Caenorhabditis elegans: one gene and its partner. The gene in region 2 interacts genetically with the main gene of each other region. Each region holds a gene or a part of one and is shown on either strand. Other genes may lie near its edges.

What was found. A genetic interaction does not mean that the proteins touch.
Region 1: of unc-25 (region 2) and jnk-1, changing one suppresses a phenotype caused by changing the other (phenotypic suppression), as found in Caenorhabditis elegans (one study listed by BioGRID).

The regions. Positions count from the first base shown.
Region 1 is NC_003282.8:6,955,946-6,964,432, forward strand, and holds jnk-1 (Stress-activated protein kinase jnk-1), read left to right. Parts: upstream 1-1,695; 5' UTR 1,696-1,731; coding exon 1,732-1,777; intron 1,778-3,037; exon of another isoform or gene 3,038-3,175; intron 3,176-3,422; exon of another isoform or gene 3,423-3,446; intron 3,447-4,263; coding exon 4,264-4,373; intron 4,374-4,781; coding exon 4,782-4,940; intron 4,941-4,987; coding exon 4,988-5,073; intron 5,074-5,196; coding exon 5,197-5,326; intron 5,327-5,375; coding exon 5,376-5,573; intron 5,574-5,851; coding exon 5,852-6,017; intron 6,018-6,177; coding exon 6,178-6,276; intron 6,277-6,324; coding exon 6,325-6,403; intron 6,404-6,460; coding exon 6,461-6,537; intron 6,538-6,580; coding exon 6,581-6,696; exon of another isoform or gene 6,697-7,521; coding exon 7,522-7,647; 3' UTR 7,648-7,774; downstream 7,775-8,487. Other genes in the region: B0478.3 (uncharacterized protein), read right to left, coding at 7,930-8,028, 8,093-8,214, 8,383-8,487. UniProt on the Caenorhabditis elegans protein: Serine/threonine-protein kinase which responds to activation by environmental stress by phosphorylating a number of transcription factors such as daf-16, and thus regulates transcriptional activity.
Region 2 is NC_003281.10:12,940,084-12,949,591, reverse strand, and holds the start of unc-25 (Glutamate decarboxylase 1), read right to left. Parts: upstream 6,942-9,508; 5' UTR 6,932-6,941; coding exon 6,874-6,931; intron 5,873-6,873; coding exon 5,811-5,872; intron 5,758-5,810; coding exon 5,623-5,757; intron 4,632-5,622; coding exon 4,504-4,631; intron 3,594-4,503; coding exon 3,365-3,593; intron 1,733-3,364; coding exon 1,082-1,732; coding exon of another isoform or gene 1,072-1,081; intron 307-1,071; coding exon 112-306; intron 1-111. Other genes in the region: epg-3 (Ectopic P granules protein 3), read right to left, coding at 8,820-8,939, 9,058-9,192.

The DNA.
Region 1 (8,487 bases), on a different chromosome or scaffold from region 2:
AAATAGCTATATGAATTTATCTATAAACAAAAATTGGCATTTGTTAAGTTTTCCTATCATAATTTCGGCAACCGAAAAAAAAGTTTTAAAAAAATTAAAACATTCATTACGTTTGTATTTTAACATTTGTGAAGCCTTATTTGAAAAATTGGTCAATCTTCCAAAACTTTGAAATTTTTTTTTTAATCTGATAATTTTAAGCCAAGCGAATAAGTTGAAAACTTTTCATCAAACCTCAAATTTATTTTTGAAAAAGTGCATTTAAAAACCTCTCTTCTTTATTTTAAACCAGTTATACATATGCATAATGTGATTCAAATTGTCGTTCTATACTACCTAAATAAACAAGTATGAATAATTGAATTTGTAAAGAAAAGCACGGTTGCCTAAGAGACGGATCTCATACAAAAAAAATCGAGATACCTATTTTTGCGTGATCATTTTTTTTCATTTTGGTTCATTCAAGTTAGTGAAAATACATTATCATTCAAAATTATTCACCGTTTTGATTTTGCTTCGAAATACCCAAAATTCAGAAATATCACAATATAAAAACAGAAAAAGATGTCTTTTGGTAAGGTTCAAATTAGAGTTCAACTTCTTGTAGAAAGAAAACAAAGAATCGTGTGAAAAAATAAAAATAAATTGAAAATCCGCTGTTTTCATAGCTTTTCCAAAAAAAAGCTTCAGTAAACTTTCAATTTTTTGTTTTGAAAAAAATCGAATGATTTTTCCATTTTTTTGAAGCGCTCCTTAGTTTCAAACATGTCCCGGTTGCCTTCAACCTTGTCCCTCCAATTCTTTCTTTCCCTTCTCCATCATCACATTTTCTAAATTAAATTCCAATTCTTTGCTTGAATCCTTGTCCTCCATCCACAGAAAGGACGAACTTTCAAAGCCTGCGTCTCATTATTCTCAAGTTCTTCTTCTTCTTCTCATCACCAAATCTGCCGCCCATGTGACTGACATGAGAGCCCCAATTGGCTACTCTACTGCATCGGGAATCCTTTTGAGAACTTTGACGACAACTCCCGCTCTTTACACTTTTGAGAATATATTAGGGAGCAAATACTAGAAAAGGTTTAGAAGTCTTAGAAGACTTCGGAAAAGTGGCAAGTGGCTTTAAAATGTTTCACGTAGTCTTTAAAATGTTTCACATATTTATTTAGTTAGTGATTTCCATTTAGTCTTTTGAAAAAAATGGAGAGTTCAGTACATACAGAAGGAAAAGTGATTTTAATAATAACTAAACATAATACAAAGTACAGAAAAAAACCTTTAAACTTAAACCGCCCTGAAATTTTTTAAAAAAAATTACTGCAGAAGTAAGTTTTTAGTGGTGTTTTTAAAATTAATATTGAAATATGTACTTTTTTTCATTTTCTGGAAAACAACAAGTGACCATTTTACGGGAAAATGGAATTCGAGATTTCAACACGAATTCTCAAATTTCAATTTTTCTGCCCTCAATTGCAATGTATTCTAACTGGAAAATAGTTTCCATTTCCTCAACATTTTCATTTTTTCTATTCTTTATTTTGGTGTCCGCAATTTTTTTTCCCTGTTCAGTTTTGTTTTTCTAGAAGCTGGTTAAAATTAATTAATGAGATTCTCGCTAATTTGAACCGTTCTTAAATTAGCCACTATCAGCTTTTTGCAATTTCCACCAATGAATACGTATAATAATATTTTCAGAACCATCAGCAAGTTAAAGTGTGTGATCCTGTGCACATGGAGGAACGATTATCCACAACATCATCGTATCCGTCACATCCAGGTTTGTTTTTAAATTTTTGCAAAATATTATTCTAGCTTCTTTTTTATCTACGAAAGTTAATTGTTTTTTTTGCAAAATTGAAATTTGGGAAAACTGTGTCTTTTTTTAATTAGGAATCAGTTTTTTTAAATTAAGATTTAATCAAATTTAACTCAACAGGGAAATTCTGAAATTTATGACTAAACCAAAAGAAAAGCCTGTAAAACCCGTTAACATCAATAATTGTGGGACTAATAAAATTGAGTAAAGTGGCTGGAAATGTGGGAATTCAAATTAAAAATTACTAGCTCTTTTTTCACATTTTTAAAGGATTTTTTCAGTGTTTTTTACATGCCACTGTAAGTAATATGAACTACATTTTACATGTATTACCTTCTCTTTAATTTAAATATGAACCAATAAAAATTTCAATATAACATTTCAAAATTGTATTAAAAAGTTGAGGTAGCACTAAATTAGCAGCTAGTTCTAGAAAAGCAACAAGAAAGTATAGTTTCTTGACCAAGTTAATAATATACACTTTCTAAATTAGCGGGTCACAAAATTTCCATTTAAAAAATCGCAAAAGTTATTAATATGGGATATCCATTTAAATGCACAATATAATTAATTCAATTTATTTTTAATTGTGGAATTACAGATATGCAACAAATTTTTAAATATCTGAAAAAAATTTTAAAAAATTTTGAATTTAAAAAATTTTTGAATTTTGTACTGATGGTCTTTTGGCTCATTCTGAGTATATTTAGATAGAACAATTGTTTTAGTGAGCAAATAAACAAATTGAGCATTTTCGCTCGTTTAATCGAAATACACTTTTTTGAACTTGCAGCAGAGCGACTCGTACCAAAGTGTTAAAAATTGTATTTCATTCTCAAACGCGACAGTTACTTCTCGAAATCTAGATATTTTTATTTAAAATAAAATTTTGAACTCGTCACAACAAAAGTCTCAAACCCTCGACAATGACGTCACAAAGTCGTGTCTTTTCAGTTCTGTTCCATATGCTTTACGCCTCTTAACTTCTTCTTCCTCTTCTTTTTGTCTTTTCCGTTTCTATTATAATTTATGGTCCCATGGGTACCATATTCTACGTTGGTAGCTTCTCTTCCACAAACATGCTCAACATCTTCCTCTTTCTCTCTCTTTCTATGTTTTTGCTTCTTTTTCTTTCCTCACTTTCATTCACAAATCGAAAAGACGTCCTTCTTGTGCCCCCTTCTACCCCATTCTCAAAGTCTTCTAAACACAAAAATCGATATAGGAAAGGCGCGGCCCCGTTTTGCACAGAATGACGACGGAAAGACGACGGAGACGTAGAGAAGGACCGCCGCCACTGCTCCGGAGAGCTCCGGAGACACACAACCACCACTGAGACCCTCGCAACCAACCCCATCGACTAGTACATCCACCCCAACTTATAGTTTTTTTCTTGTTAAAGTTGTTATTATAAATCACTAGAAGTTGAAAATTATGACAATTTTTTGGTTTTGAAGTGAGGAGAGCTTCTGTGAATCAAGAAGTTAGAGGTTTTTTTTTTGAAAATTTAGCTAAACTGTTTTGATCATAACTTTGCTAGAAAGGACTAATTTAGAATATTTGTCCTTTTGAAACTAGTTGAAAATTTTAAGTTGTCACCAAAAAAAATACCCTTTAGTGCAATACAACAATATCGAGGTCATTATCAGTAGACTTTTGATAATTTTATGAAACAGTTAAATTTTGAAAATAGGTTTGATTCTTGAATATTCCCCTTATTTCTGTTCTAAAAAGTTTTCCGACAAATGAATGTAACACTCTAACGAGTAGTACCCTCTTCATCTTTAATTTCCGTGTTTCTTCCTTTTCTGACCTAAATAATCCTTTCCGCTTTTCCACCCCGACCATCTTATGTTCCCTTCAGAGCCCTCTTTTCCCTTAGCCCCAATATAACCTCATCAGTGAAATTGTGTTCTTTCTAACTCTGCGTCTTCCTTCCATCTTGTGTATTTTCTCTAAATTTTGTCTCTGCTCCAAATTGGACAGAAAAAGACATCCAAACGGACAGCAAAAAAAAAGAGTCGAAAAGTGCATTGTGTGTGCTGAATGTGAAAAAGACACCAAAAAATGGATAAATAGTCTCCATTTATTTATACATTTCTTTTGAAGCTAGCAAAGAGTCTGGGTTTTTTGAAAAAAAAAAGATTTCTGGATTGGTTTTTGGGTAAATACATAGATCCCGTTAATATGCGGCTGAGTTAATTAGATTTTTAGTAATGCATCTAATATCACATTTTTCTCTGTTTCAAATATTTTATTTTCCAAATATTTTTTTCAACAAATTGCTTTCTTTCAAATCATAATTTTGATAGTGAAAGTCTAAATTTAATACCAAAATAATTGTTTGTGTTCGAGTATTTTTGAGGAAATCGTTTTTGTATCCTTCGAGAAGTTTCTACATTTCACTGTTTTCACTGTAATGGCATTTAAATTTATCCGATTTTCAGGTAGAAGCGTGGAAGAGGATCACAACACTCTGCTCGCATCCTCCTCGATATCATCAATCATTCGAGGAACCCGTGGACACCTCAACAATTTTATCGAGTCCGTTGGGAATGTGAGTTTAAGTTTGAGTTGACTAAAACTCAAAAGCATGAAATTGAAATTTTGTCTTTTAAAAATGGGCACTACCACTGATGTTTTATAAGCCGTATTTTCTATTTTAGAGACACTTGAGTTTGCAAATTTATCAGCTCATAGTTCAAATTATCATTAGTTTCGTTAAATTTTTATGAAATTTTTTGAAAATATATGAACATTACTGGCAGAATTGACAAAATTCAAGAAAAGTCCTTGAAACAGAGAAATTTTGTTCACAAAACACGAACTGAGGCGAAGTTGCTTACGGTTTCAGAAAACTTCGCAACTGTTTTATCAAATGTTGATGGTCACTCAATAGTCAGAAATAACAGTTTTTAAAACAAAATCATCAATATCTAACTATATCTTTATTCCCTATTTTCAGTGGCTGGTTCCATCATCATCTGGTCGAGACGACGACGCTGTCTCTTTGGATAGTTGCCAATCAGTGTACAGTCCTGTTCGTCATCACATAAACAGTGGAACAGGAGGAGGAATTCTCATGGAACCATCCTCTATTCATGTTCCCGAAAACTATTATTCGGTGAGTACAATTTTAACAGTTTGGTTGAAGATCTCGATATGTTTCAGGTGACAATAGGGGAAGCGCAGATGGTTGTTCTCAAACGATATCAAAATCTCAGGTTGATCGGGTCTGGTGCTCAGGGAATTGTTTGGTGAGTAATTTTGTTGTTGGTATAATGGGAAAGCGATTTTGAAGAGACAAAAATTTTCTCGATTCTATATTGTTTGGTTAAAAAATCTCAACTATGCTGGAAATCAAATTTATTATTTTTCAGCTCAGCGTTTGATACGGTACGGAACGAACAAGTTGCCATAAAGAAATTATCAAGGCCATTTCAAAATGTGACACATGCAAAGAGGGCTTATCGAGAATTAAAACTCATGAGTCTTGTAAATCATAAAAATGTGAGTTTTTTCAAGATTTTACGTTGGACTTCAATTCCTCATTTTTCAGATCATAGGTATTCTGAATTGTTTTACACCACAAAAGAAACTCGACGAATTCAACGATCTTTATATTGTTATGGAACTTATGGATGCAAATCTTTGTCAAGTGATTCAAATGGATTTGGATCATGAGAGATTATCATATCTTCTTTATCAAATGTTATGTGGTATCAGGCATTTACATAGTGCTGGAATTATACACAGGGTGAGACTGACAGAAAAAAGAATATCTAGGCGACTTATAATCGCCTTGTGCCTACTTCCAAGGCACAAGTTGCGAAAAATCGGAACATGGCTTCTTTTTTGTGGAGCAAAAGTTTTTGTGCCCATTATTATTTTTACTAAAAAAATTCAGAGGAGCATTTTAGTAGGCAAGCTCTCAGGCAGATAGGCATATAAAAAATTTATGCTACCGATTATTCTGAACCGGGTTGTCCCTCTGAGATTTTTTTTTCCAAATATTTATTCTACAAATTGTTACAGGATTTGAAACCATCAAACATTGTCGTTCGAAGTGATTGTACTCTAAAAATCTTGGATTTCGGATTGGCTCGAACTGCGATTGAGGCATTCATGATGACTCCTTACGTTGTGACAAGATACTATCGGGCACCGGAAGTTATTTTAGGAATGGGTTACAAGGAAAATGGTAAGATTTTTGAGTTAAAGTGATGAACACCAATATTAAATCGGAGCACACATTTTTTCAGTTTTTTCTAGTTTTAAAAATAGAAGAATAATCGTTATTCATTTTCAAATTCTTTAAGCAATTTAACAAAGTTATATTTTTCAAACAAAATATTTTTCAGTTGATGTTTGGTCAATTGGGTGTATATTTGGAGAGCTGATACGTGGACGTGTACTATTCCCGGGTGGTGACCATATCGATCAGTGGACTAGGATTATTGGTAATTTTGAAAATGATTAAAACGAACTGCCAACATTTCCGAATTCAGAACAATTGGGTACTCCGGATAGGTCATTTTTAGAACGGTTACAACCAACTGTCAGAAATTATGTGGAAAATCGGCCAAGGTATGAATTAAAATATTTTACTAATACAATGAACTCGATTAAAATAAAATAATTCAGATATCAAGCAACGCCGTTTGAAGTTCTCTTCAGTGATAACATGTTCCCAATGACAGCTGACAGCTCAAGACTTACAGGTATGCTTTAACAGAATAATTTCAAAAATTAAACATTTTCTAGGTGCTCAAGCTCGTGACTTACTTTCTCGAATGTTAGTCATAGATCCGGAAAGAAGGATTTCTGTGGATGATGCACTGAGACATCCATATGTCAATGTTTGGTTTGATGAAATTGAAGTAAGATTTTTTCCTATTACACAACACAAAATATACAGTTAAATATGAATGACTTTTCAAAAACCGAAATCCTATTTTTTGCGTGGAAGAAAAACTCTAAAATCCGGACTCCGGATGGCCAGCCCTAATAAAATTTGAATAATGTTGCTGAATCAATTTCAAAATAAAACATATGTTAATTGAGATTTTGAAACAGTGATAATTTTTCACTTTCGTTTATTTTTATTTTGTTGAAAACAAATAAAGGTTATATTGCGGTAACCTTATTAAAAACAGCTTAAAATTTGTATCTTTTTCCGATATCTGTACAGAATTTATATTATTAAAAAGGTCGAGTGAGGAGTCTACTAAGGGTCACACGTCAATTTCAACCGGGTCGAACGTCCAATATTGAATTTGAGCATAATAATAATATCTACTAATTATTCAATGTTTTCGCTAAATTAGTGATGGGACAAACAATTGCAACGAAAAATACAATATACATCTTAGCTTTGAAACAGTAATTTTTTTTTTCTTGTTAAATATGTTTTTTTGTTATTTTCTGTTTGAAGCTTGAAAATAACACGAAGCATATTTGGTAAGAAAAAATTTACTGTTTCAAAGCTAAGATGTAAGCATATCGTATTTTCTTTACAATTGTTTACCCGACATCTTTTGAGAATAAATGAAATTATTAATAACGCAGTATTAAAAAAGAACAGCATATAATTCACATTCTCAAGAACCATAAATTGCGAATGAAGATACGCCAGCCACAGCCGTATGTAATATCGAATTCGAAAAGAATTATAATATTATTAACTCATATTCATATGTTTTCAGGTATATGCTCCACCTCCACTTCCGTATGATCATAATATGGATGTGGAACAGAACGTGGATTCATGGAGAGAGCACATTTTCCGAGAGCTCACAGATTACGCAAGAACCCATGACATTTATTCCTGATTCCATGTTTTACGGTCACATTTCGATCTCTATGTTTTTTCATTCGCGTAATTGTTTTCAAATGTCTCCTTTTCTGTGCTCATATTTCTATTTAAAAAAAAGATAATAAATTGTTTGAAAGTTGAAAAAAAAACAGATTTATGTACATTATGACTTTGGCAACTTCAACCGCCTACAATGCGGGCATTTAAATTGATTTTGAAAATTGAAATCACATTGTTTTCAAAAATAAAAGTGATCATCTTGACAATGGATACTAACAAATGTTGATTTTTTTAAAATTTAATTTATAGTGGGAGATACTGGTTCTAGTCCTCCCAAGGTGTTATACGCAGTCTCTCCAAAAAGTCGAACAGCTGCACAGAATCCGGCAGCATCCACCTGAAACATGGGATTACTTTTCAATATGAAAAAAAAACAAATTTTAATTAAAAAAAAAACTCACTGCGCAAAGATTCTTTTCTGTGGCCGTACTTAGACATAGACAAAATTCATTATCGCAAAAATCTTTACCAATTTGAGTGTTGTAGCAGTTGTCGTGGGTTTCACAGCAGACGTTCATTGGATCTGAAAATTTAATTTTCGAAGATGATAAAAATCTTGAAACTATCTTCAAAAATTTTCAGTAATGTTTTAATTTTTTTCAATAAAAAACTGTTTCATAAAAGTCAGAAACGTTTAGTAGTTAGTTGAGATAAGTTCAATAAACAAAAACATAATTATTAAAAATCATACCTCTCAAATTTTTACACTCGGTGCTGTTAAACAATTGTGGAATAAATTCCGTGAACCGATTGGCACCGCAACTAAAATTGCTAGCCGGAATTGTATTATTCATGG
Region 2 (9,508 bases):
ATTGAAATATTTTCTTTACAGTCAAAAAATAGAAAATATAAAAAATTTCATTTTTTGCCAAATTACCAAATTATTTGTTTCAAAAAATTACATTAAACGCCTGTTCCATACCTGATTCGAAATAATCATTCGGAAGAAATTTGGTCGCTGCTTATCCGGTTGATATCCAACCATTGTGGTACCTCTTTGCATCATGCCGGCTTTAATTTTTGGGGCAATTTTCTCCAAACGAGCACGCATTTCAGCAGGCTCCAAGTTTCGAATCTTTGAAGGCACGTACCAGAAACAAATGTTCAGGAATTCGGGCTGAAAATTTGAAAAATTTGAAGTTTTTTTTTGTTTTAATTAAATTAACTTTGAAATTAATTTTTTTTTAAACCCAGTGAAACATTTTATAAATTTCATAAAAATTAAAGAAGTAATCATACTGCAGGCTTCAAAATTCCTGCCTAGTAGGTGCCTAGCAGTGCCTACCTGCCTACAAGACAGGCATAACTCGCCTCGAAGGTATGTAATTTGATTTTTTTCGATTTAAAGTGTTTTAGATATTTTTCAAGCAGTTTAAAAAATGTTTAGATGTTTCAATTTCCTTTTTTTTTTTAATATTTTTTCGATTTTTCAGAGATAATCACAAAATCGAAAAAAGTGTTTAGAAAAATTAACAAAAAAAAACGAAAAATTGACCAAAATATTATGATCCAAGGGTGGGCGGCAAACGATTTTTGCCAGAAAATCGGCAAACCGGCAAATTGTCGGAATTGAAAATTTCCGGCAAATCGGCAAACCGACTAATTGCCCATTTTCCGAATTTGCCGGAACAATGGCAATTGCCCAAATTTTCGGCAAATAGTGGCTTTGCACATTTTTTTTTTTGGAAATTTCAGAATTTCAACTTCAATCGGCAAAATTGTACGCATCCTATGAATATCTAAAGAAACGGAAAAAATTTCAAAAAGACACAGGTTTAAGTCCTCTAAACACTTCCGGCAAATTGATATCCGGCAAAAGGCTACTCGGCAAATTGCCGGAATTGAATATTTCCGGCAAATTGGCAAACCGGCAATTGCTCACCGAAACTCACATTCTCAATAATCAACTCAAATCCTTCAGTTTCCTTAATTCTCCTGGTAAAATAGTTGGCCAAATCCATCAACTTATTAATTTGCTGACGATATCCCTCCATTCCCTTGCTCTTCCACATCAACCAAAGCTTGAAAACATCATTGTGCCGTCCACATTGAATGGCTTTATCTCCAGTATCAAAGCTCACATCGTACGGTTTATCTTGTTGGAATAGATAATCAGCCGACATTTGATTACACTGGAACAGTAGTCCATCCTGACGGAACAAGCATGCCGAGCACTGGAGAAGTGCTCCCATGAGCTTATGTGGATTCCATGTCACTGAATTAGCTCTCTCAATTCCTGCCAGCTTGTACCGATGCTCGGGAGACAGGAGCATTCCACCACCCCAAGCGGCATCCACGTGGAACCAGAGCTTATGACGTTCACAGATGTTTGCGACTCGCTCCAATGGATCAAATGCTCCGTAGACAGTTGAGCCGGCTGTGCAGCAGGCAAAGAACGGGGTCAGACCCTCTTTTTTACATTCGATAATCTTAGCTTCTAGAGCTTCTGGAATCATTTTTCCATTTTTATCGGTTGGAATGTTGAAGCAATAGTCTGCGCCAATGCCAAGAACAGCGGAGGCAGATTTGATGGAGTAGTGACTCTGCAAATTTAAGGTTTTAGAGGAAAAAAGTGGCAGAGAAAAAATTTCAAAAATTGCCGAATTTCCCGTTTGCCGAGCTCGACAAACTTGGAAATTTGCCGCACGGCCCACAAAATTGGATTTTAAAAATTTGACCGAACAAAATTATTCAAAAATGGTGGGCGGCAAACAATTTTTCCGACGAATCGGCAAATCGGCAGGGTTTGCACTTAAATTTTTTTTTAATTTTCGGCAAATTTGTAACCCACAATTTGCTAAAAATAAAAGTTTCCGGCAAATTGGCAATCCGACAGTTTGCCGAAATTGAAAGTTTCAGGCAAATTGGTAATCCGGCAATTCGTCAATTTAATAAAAATAAAAATTTCCGTCAAACTAGCAAACCGACAATTTGCCGGAATCGACAGTTTCCGGCAAACCGGCAAACCGGCAATTCGTCGATTTGCCAAAAGTAACAGTTTCCAGCAAACTTGCAAACCGGCAATGTGCCAGAATTGACAGTTTCCGGGAAATCGGCGAACCGGCAATTCGTCGATTTGCCAAAAATAAAAATTTCCAGCAAACTAGCAAACCGACAATTTGCTGGAATCGACAGTTTCCGGCAAACCGGCAATTCGTCGATTTGCCAAAAATAAAAATTTCCAGCAAACTTGCAAACCGGCAATGTGCCAGAATTGACAGTTTCCGGCAAATCGGCAAACCGGCGATTCGTCGATTTGCCAAAAATAAAAATTTCCAGCAAACTTGCAAACCGGCAATTTGCCGGAATGGAAGGTTTCCGGCAAATTGGCAATCCGGTAAATTGCCAGAGTTGGAAGTTTCCGGCAAATTGGAAAACCGGCTTTTGCCGGAAAAAAAATCAGAAAACGTCTGTAGATTTACGCGGCTCGTGTACTCCTCGTGGAGAAACATTTTTTCTAAAATTCGGCAAATGGGCAAATCGGTAAATTGACGGAATCGAACATTTCCGGCAAGTTGAAAAATTGCCGAAAATGGAAATTTCAGGCAAATCGGCAAATTGAAAATTTTCGGCAAATCGGCAAACAGATAAATTGCCGGAATTGGAAGTTTCCGGCAAATCGGCAAACCGGCATTTTGCCGAATTTGTCGACAAAAAAATTTGCCGTAATTGAAATTTTCGGCAAACCGGCTGTTTGCCGAAATAGAACATTTCCTGCAAATCGGCAAATTGGCAGAATTTAAATTTCCGACAAATCGTCAAAACCGGCAATTAGCCGGAATTGAAATTTTCCGGCAAATTGGCAATCCGGTAAATTGCCGGAATTGGAAGTTTCCGGCAAATTGTCAAATTTTGCAGAATTTTTCGACAAAAAAAAATTGCCGAACGAAAATTGCCGCTTGTGCTAAGGATTCAGTAATAGCCTGGGAATATCCGAAACTTTTTCTATTTTCGGAGCACGGCAAATTTGCCAAATTTGCCGAGCTCGGCCAATATTGGAAAACAAGTTTTGCCAAATTTTGCCGAATAACTTTACAAGGACTATCAATTTTTGCGTATAAACTTGAGAAAACCCGCAAAAAAAATTCAAAAAATTGAGGAATATTTCAATGTTGAATAAATGTTTCATAAGTAACAGCCAAAAATTAATTCTTTAAATTTTAAAAAAATCTTACATCCTCGCTAGTAAAGCAGCACAATGTCGGAATATCCTTCATTCCGAGATGCTTGCTACGTGGCCAAAGTTGATGACGTGCCGCATTCATTGCATACAAATTGGCGATTGCTCCACCTGGTGCAAAGATTCCATCAGCTTTTTCCGGATCCCATCCAACTGCTTCCCACATTCTGGCCATTACCGACTTTTCCATAAGGATGAAGACAGGCGCGATTTCATAGGTGAACCTGAAAGATTCTAGCTTCCAGACTTTTTTAAAAATGTTCAAATTTTCTAAAGGCTTTATTAAAATATTATACATTTGAAAACTATATTATTAACTATTATCATAGGAAAGAGCGCCTGCCTGCCTACTGCCTTTGTTAAATTTTTTGTCGCTTTCTTGACGTATACTTTGAAGATCGGCAAGTACTGTTAAATTTCTTAAACTGAGCCTATAATTTCGGCTTGTTAGAGCTCAGCCAAGTACGAGCATCACTTTGAGTATAATTTGACTGTTATGTGAAAGCCTAATGAGGTCAGTTCTTCACTATACAATCACATTACAATACACAATTAAACAATTTTTCTTTTTTTTTAAATGCATTGTACCACTCTGAATAGGTTTTAGCCTACTAGCAAATTTTAGTTTAAAAAAACCTCTCTATTAATAATCTATGTATAAAGATGTAAAAAATTACATAAGCTTGCATTTCAGAAAACCTTCCATATTCATTGCTGGATTAGAAAGTTTTGCGGGACTTTTCTCAAAACTTCATCGCAACAAAATTGAGCAATTTACACGTAAAAATGCTCATCTGTGTGCCTCAGGAGCAATTCCTGAGTTTTTGGTAATTTTCTCGGAGTTTTTAAATTTGAAAAAACTCTGAAGCCAATTTTGAAAGTCCCTTCACGATCTAAGCCTAAGCCTAAGTCTACGCCTAAGCCTAAGCCTGAGCCTAAGCTTAAGCCTAAGCCTAAGCCTAGTCCTGAGGCTTCGCATAAGCCTGAGCCTGCGCCTGAGCCCAAGCCTAAGCCTAGGCCTAAACCTAAGCCTAAGCTTAGTCCTAAGGCTTAGCATAAGCCTAAGCCTGAGCCCAAGCCTAAGTCTAGGCCTAAACCTAAGCCTAAGCTTAATCCTTCCCCTCAAATACCCACATATTAGTATTTGCAGTTGCGGTAAGCCATTCCCCAGCCATCGAAACCAAGTCGAGTCCACACGAGATTTGGTTGAAAAAGCGTGGATGTCCAGTACGTACACCCAATCGAAGCACATCTTCACAGCTCTGTAATGTCCTTTTTTTGGGGAAATTGTATGTGTGTGCAAATGAAAAGAGCACTGGAGCCCCCCATTTTCAAGTGTTTTCGAGATGTCTGGTAGAAAAGAGGAAAAGAGCATGTTAATGGTTTATATTGTGCCCCGAGGGCGAAATGAGAAAAATGAGTGCGGAAATAGGATTTGGAAATGAAAAAAAAATGTTTTTTGGTGGGACAAGGATATGAAAAAACGATGGAATTATTATTACTTTGAAAATGAAATTTTTTTGAGAATATTTGAATTTTCTGAACGACTAGCAATTGACAGATTCGTTAGAGCTGAAGAATTTTTGATTTTTCAAAATTGTTCGTATTAAGCTCAAGATTGAGCATGGATTAAGCTTGGACTTAGGCTTAGGATTAGGCTGCGTCATATGATTAAGCCTAGGCTGAGGCTCAGGCTTAGTCTTAGGTTTAGGCTTAGGTTTAGTCTTAGGCTTAGGCTCAGGCTTAGGCTTATGCTTAGGCTTAGGCTTAGGCTTATGCTTAGGCTCAGGCTTAGGCTTATCTAAGATTTTCCCAAAATTTTATAGTCGAATTTGCTAAAAACTACAAAATAGGCCAAATTCTTTAAAAATTAAGTTTTTTTTCCTTCTGGCAACCCTTCGCTAGTACTCTCGCCAAAATAAAAGCTGACCAATCAGCAATTTACCCCACCCACTTTCAAACCAATCAGCGTCTTCCAGCTCTTCCCACTTCAACTGATTGGTAGAATATTGGGCGGAGCGAATCATTGATTGATCGCATTTCGGAAAATCAATTTTTTTTCCGCTCTTAAACTAAATCCGAATATTTCAAACTCCTAGTTCAAACTAATTAATATTTCCTGAGCCGCTCGAGTCTATACCTAGGCCTAAACCTAAGCCAAAGCCTAAGCACAAGCACAAGCCCAAGCCTAAGCTTATGCCTAAGCCCCTAATCCTGAGCTTAATAGGAAAGAACAAAATTATTTTTCGTTACCTTCACAAGCTTCAACAAGCTCTCCGGTTTCTCTGGAATAGACAAATCCATCAACATTTGCATTTTATCTGGATGATGGAATTCCAGAATCTTCTGATCACGATCATTCTGATCTTTGATGTACTTCAGAAGAACCTGGAAACGCAGGGAAACTTGAAAAATTTTTAAAAAAATGATTCGAAATTTACCTGAACAATTCGATTAAGAAATTCCTCGGTTCCTTCCCAGTTGCCGGTTTGGGGAAGGATTTCTGGAAAGTTTTCAGTTTTTAGGGATTATTATATTTTTAAGAATTTATGCTATTTGGCCGGGAATCTATTAAAAGTGAAAATTAAAAGTTTCCAGCAAATCGGCAAATTGCCAGAATTGAAAATTTCCGACAAAGCGGCAAATTACCGGAACTGCAATTTCCGGCAAATCGGCAAATCGGCAAACCGGTAGATTGCCGAAAATAAACACTTCCGGCGAATCAGCAAATTGGCAAAATTGACAATTTCCGGCAAACCGGCAAATTGCCGAAAATGGAAATTTCAGGCAAATTGGCAAAACGGCAACTTGCCAGAATTGAAAAATTCCAGCAAATCGGCAAATTGCCGGAATTGAAAAATTTGGCAAACCGGCAAATTGCCGGAATTGAAACTTTCCGGCTAGTTGGCAAATCGGCAAATTGCCGAAGATGGAAATTTCCGGCAAATCGGCAAATTACCGAATTTGCCGGAAAATGAATTTGCCGAACGGGGATTTGAACAGCAAATTCATATATTTTTGCCTGAATCTGACTTTAATTTTTTTAAAAACTAATCAAAAATTAGCGAAAATGGGCAAAACTGCACACAAACTTCTCCACGAGGAGTACACGAACTGCGTAAATCGACAAGAGAAGATTTTTTATATTAAAAAAAATCCTAATAAAAATATGTGTAAATTAGTATTGAGAAATTTCAAAAGACCTTCATTTTCTACATCGAATCTGTGAAATTTGGCACTTTTATTTTATTACTCAATCGCGAAATTTTGCGGTCTCGACACGACATTTTTTGTGGAATGCAAACAAATGTATGTGCCTTAAAAAGAGTACTGTAGTTCGGAATATTTATCGATTTTTCATAGTTTTTGTCAAGAATCAATGCAATCGAAAAACTATTTTTAAAAAATCGATAAAAATTCCAAACTACAGTACTCCTTAAAGGCGCACACCTTTCATCGAAAAAAATTGTCGTGGCGAGACCCATTCAACCTACAGTAACCCACCTTTCGCAATAAGATTCTCGAGCACAGCATCACTTTCGTCAGCAGCAGCAGAGGACATTTTTGGCGGTGAACTGAGCTTTTCCCTATTCCGGAGGGGGTCCTACTGACCCCGCCCCCAAGGATTACTGTGGCTCAGTTGTGTAGTTGCTCCAAAAGAGGGGCGTGACTATAATCCCAATGAGCAATTCGTCATCAAAATGAGCCCTTAAACCCTTGCTCAAAGAGGGGAGCCAGGGGGAGCCCGGGGTAAACTTTTTGCGACAATAATAATAATAATAATGCTCACTTGAGCCCCCCTCCCGTTTCGTGACGAGTCTTCAAAGGTCCTCTCAGAAATGATGGCATCAGAACAAAATGACAAAAGATTAGATGAGCAGCCCTTCAAACAATTCGAAAATTCTTGAAAAAAAAGAGCAAAAAAAAAGAAAGAAAAAAAATAATTTACCGGCCATGAAATAGAAAACAATAATAATAATCATTTTAAAAAAAAGTCAAAAAAATGTTTTAAAAATGGGGGAAAAATCACATGAAAACGGAACATTTTTGGGGAAAACTGGGGATTTTTGGGATTTCTTGGGGGGAAGTGAATTGCACAACAGAAATTTGGAATTTTAAAAAAAATTGAAAAACCAAAAAAAAGGAACATCCTCATAGAGGAGGACTGAGAGAAGCTCGGGATTATTTTTTAAAAAAAGAATTTCGAGAATTGACACAGGTTTTCAAAATATTATCGAGTCGCAGAAAAATGCTTTCAGCTTGTGCAAGCGCGCTCCACCACCGCCCCAAAAAATTGGGTCTCGTTGGAGGCAAAACTGGAGTTTTACCAGTTTTACCGCCAAATACCTAACGAGACCCAACTTTTTGAGGGCGGTGGATCATCGTTGTCATTTCGCCGTGGAGCGCGCTTGCATGTCGATTTTCTGAAATTTCAAAAATCTTTTCGAAAAGGAGCATTTTTCGGCGTCGAATCGAGGTTTTTCCGATTTTTTTCTCGCAAAGTCAAACTTGAAAAATCTAAAAATTATTCCGATATTTCGTTAAAAATTTCGAATTTCCGGAGAAATAGTTATAAATTTCGGCTTTTCTTATTTTCTGAAAAAAAAAATATTTTTTTAAAAAGATTTTTTCTCCGGAAAATCGAAATTTTCAGCTTTTTTTTGAGTATTTTCCGATATTTTGTAAAAAATTCCGATTTTTCAGGAAAAAAATTACATTTTTACGACTTTTTTTACGAAAAAACCGAAATTTGGGTTTTTTTTTCGATTTTTTCGTATTTTTCTCAGAAAATCGAAAATTTCTTTCAATTTTAGATATCTCGGAAAAAATCGATATTTCCAAAAAAAAAACTTTAAATTTCGGTCTTTAAAAGAAACTAATTTTTTAACGATTTTTTTTCCGGAAAATTCAAAATTTTAGTATTTCTGGGAAACATCGAAAAATTCTCCGATTTTTCGATATCTCAAAAAAAATTTCGGCTTTTCGGGAAACAACTTTCGATTTTTTTTTTGGAAAATCGAAAAATTCTCAAAAAAAAAATCGATATTTCCAAAAAAACTAGCTTTAAATTTCGGCTTTTGACCAAAAAATCGCTTTTTTGATTTTTTTTTTCTCAAAACTCGAAATTCTCTGAAAAATCATGTCAAATCTCAAAATTCCGGGGAAAAAGTGGGATAGAAAAGGTAGGAAAAGAAGAAGAAGAAGAAGAATAAGAAGACGTGCGCTCCGCCACCGGTCGTCGAGTGAAAAATGCCTTGTTGTTGTTATCAGTGGGGGGGTTATTGGAAGATTTTTTTTAGATTTTAAAGGGAAGAAATTATTGGTTTTTAGTGCTTAATAAGTGCAAATTTGAGATCAAAAAGTGGGTGTTTTTTGCATGCAAAAATTCGAATTTTAGTTTAGAAATTTAAATTTTTGGAAAAAAAAATTATACAATTATTTCTTATTTCTCATTTCTTAACAACAACTCCTTCAAATCCATCTGATAACAGCAGCGGGCATGATGATGGCGGAGTTACGGCTTCTTCTTCTTCCTCTTCAAAACTTTGATTTTCCTCATCTATCAAATCCTGAACAATTGAAAAGTTGAAATAAAACAATTTTTCCATATTTTTTTAAAAGGAAAAAAATTAGAAAATTAATGACAAATGGGCAGTGTGTCAGGGCAGTTGTACCTAATTACTCGACCTTGTTTTGTCGCCGTTTTCGTTCCCATAACCGCTTGTGATAGTCTTTTGCCAGTGAATTGACAATTGAGAGGAAGAAGAAGAGAATCATGAAGGTTACCATAAGTGAGAGACCCCAAGCCAGGTAGGATGTGCTCTGAGAAATTTGAATTTATTTTATAAAAAATGTGATCTTAAAGTTTTTTTTGTTAATAATTTTTTGAAAATATAATTTTTTTTTGTTTAAAATTATTTTTAAAATTCTTTTTTTTTTTAAATAAATTGTTTAATTTAATTTTTTCGTTGAAATGTTTCTGTTAAAAAATTTTTAAAGCTTTTTGTGAAATTTTGATTTTTTTTTGTTAAAATATAGTTTTTTTAAATAAATTAAAATTTTTGTTGTTGAAAAATTTGATTTTTAAACAATTTAATTTTTTTTGCTAAAATTCATTTTTTTCGTTGAAATGCTGTTT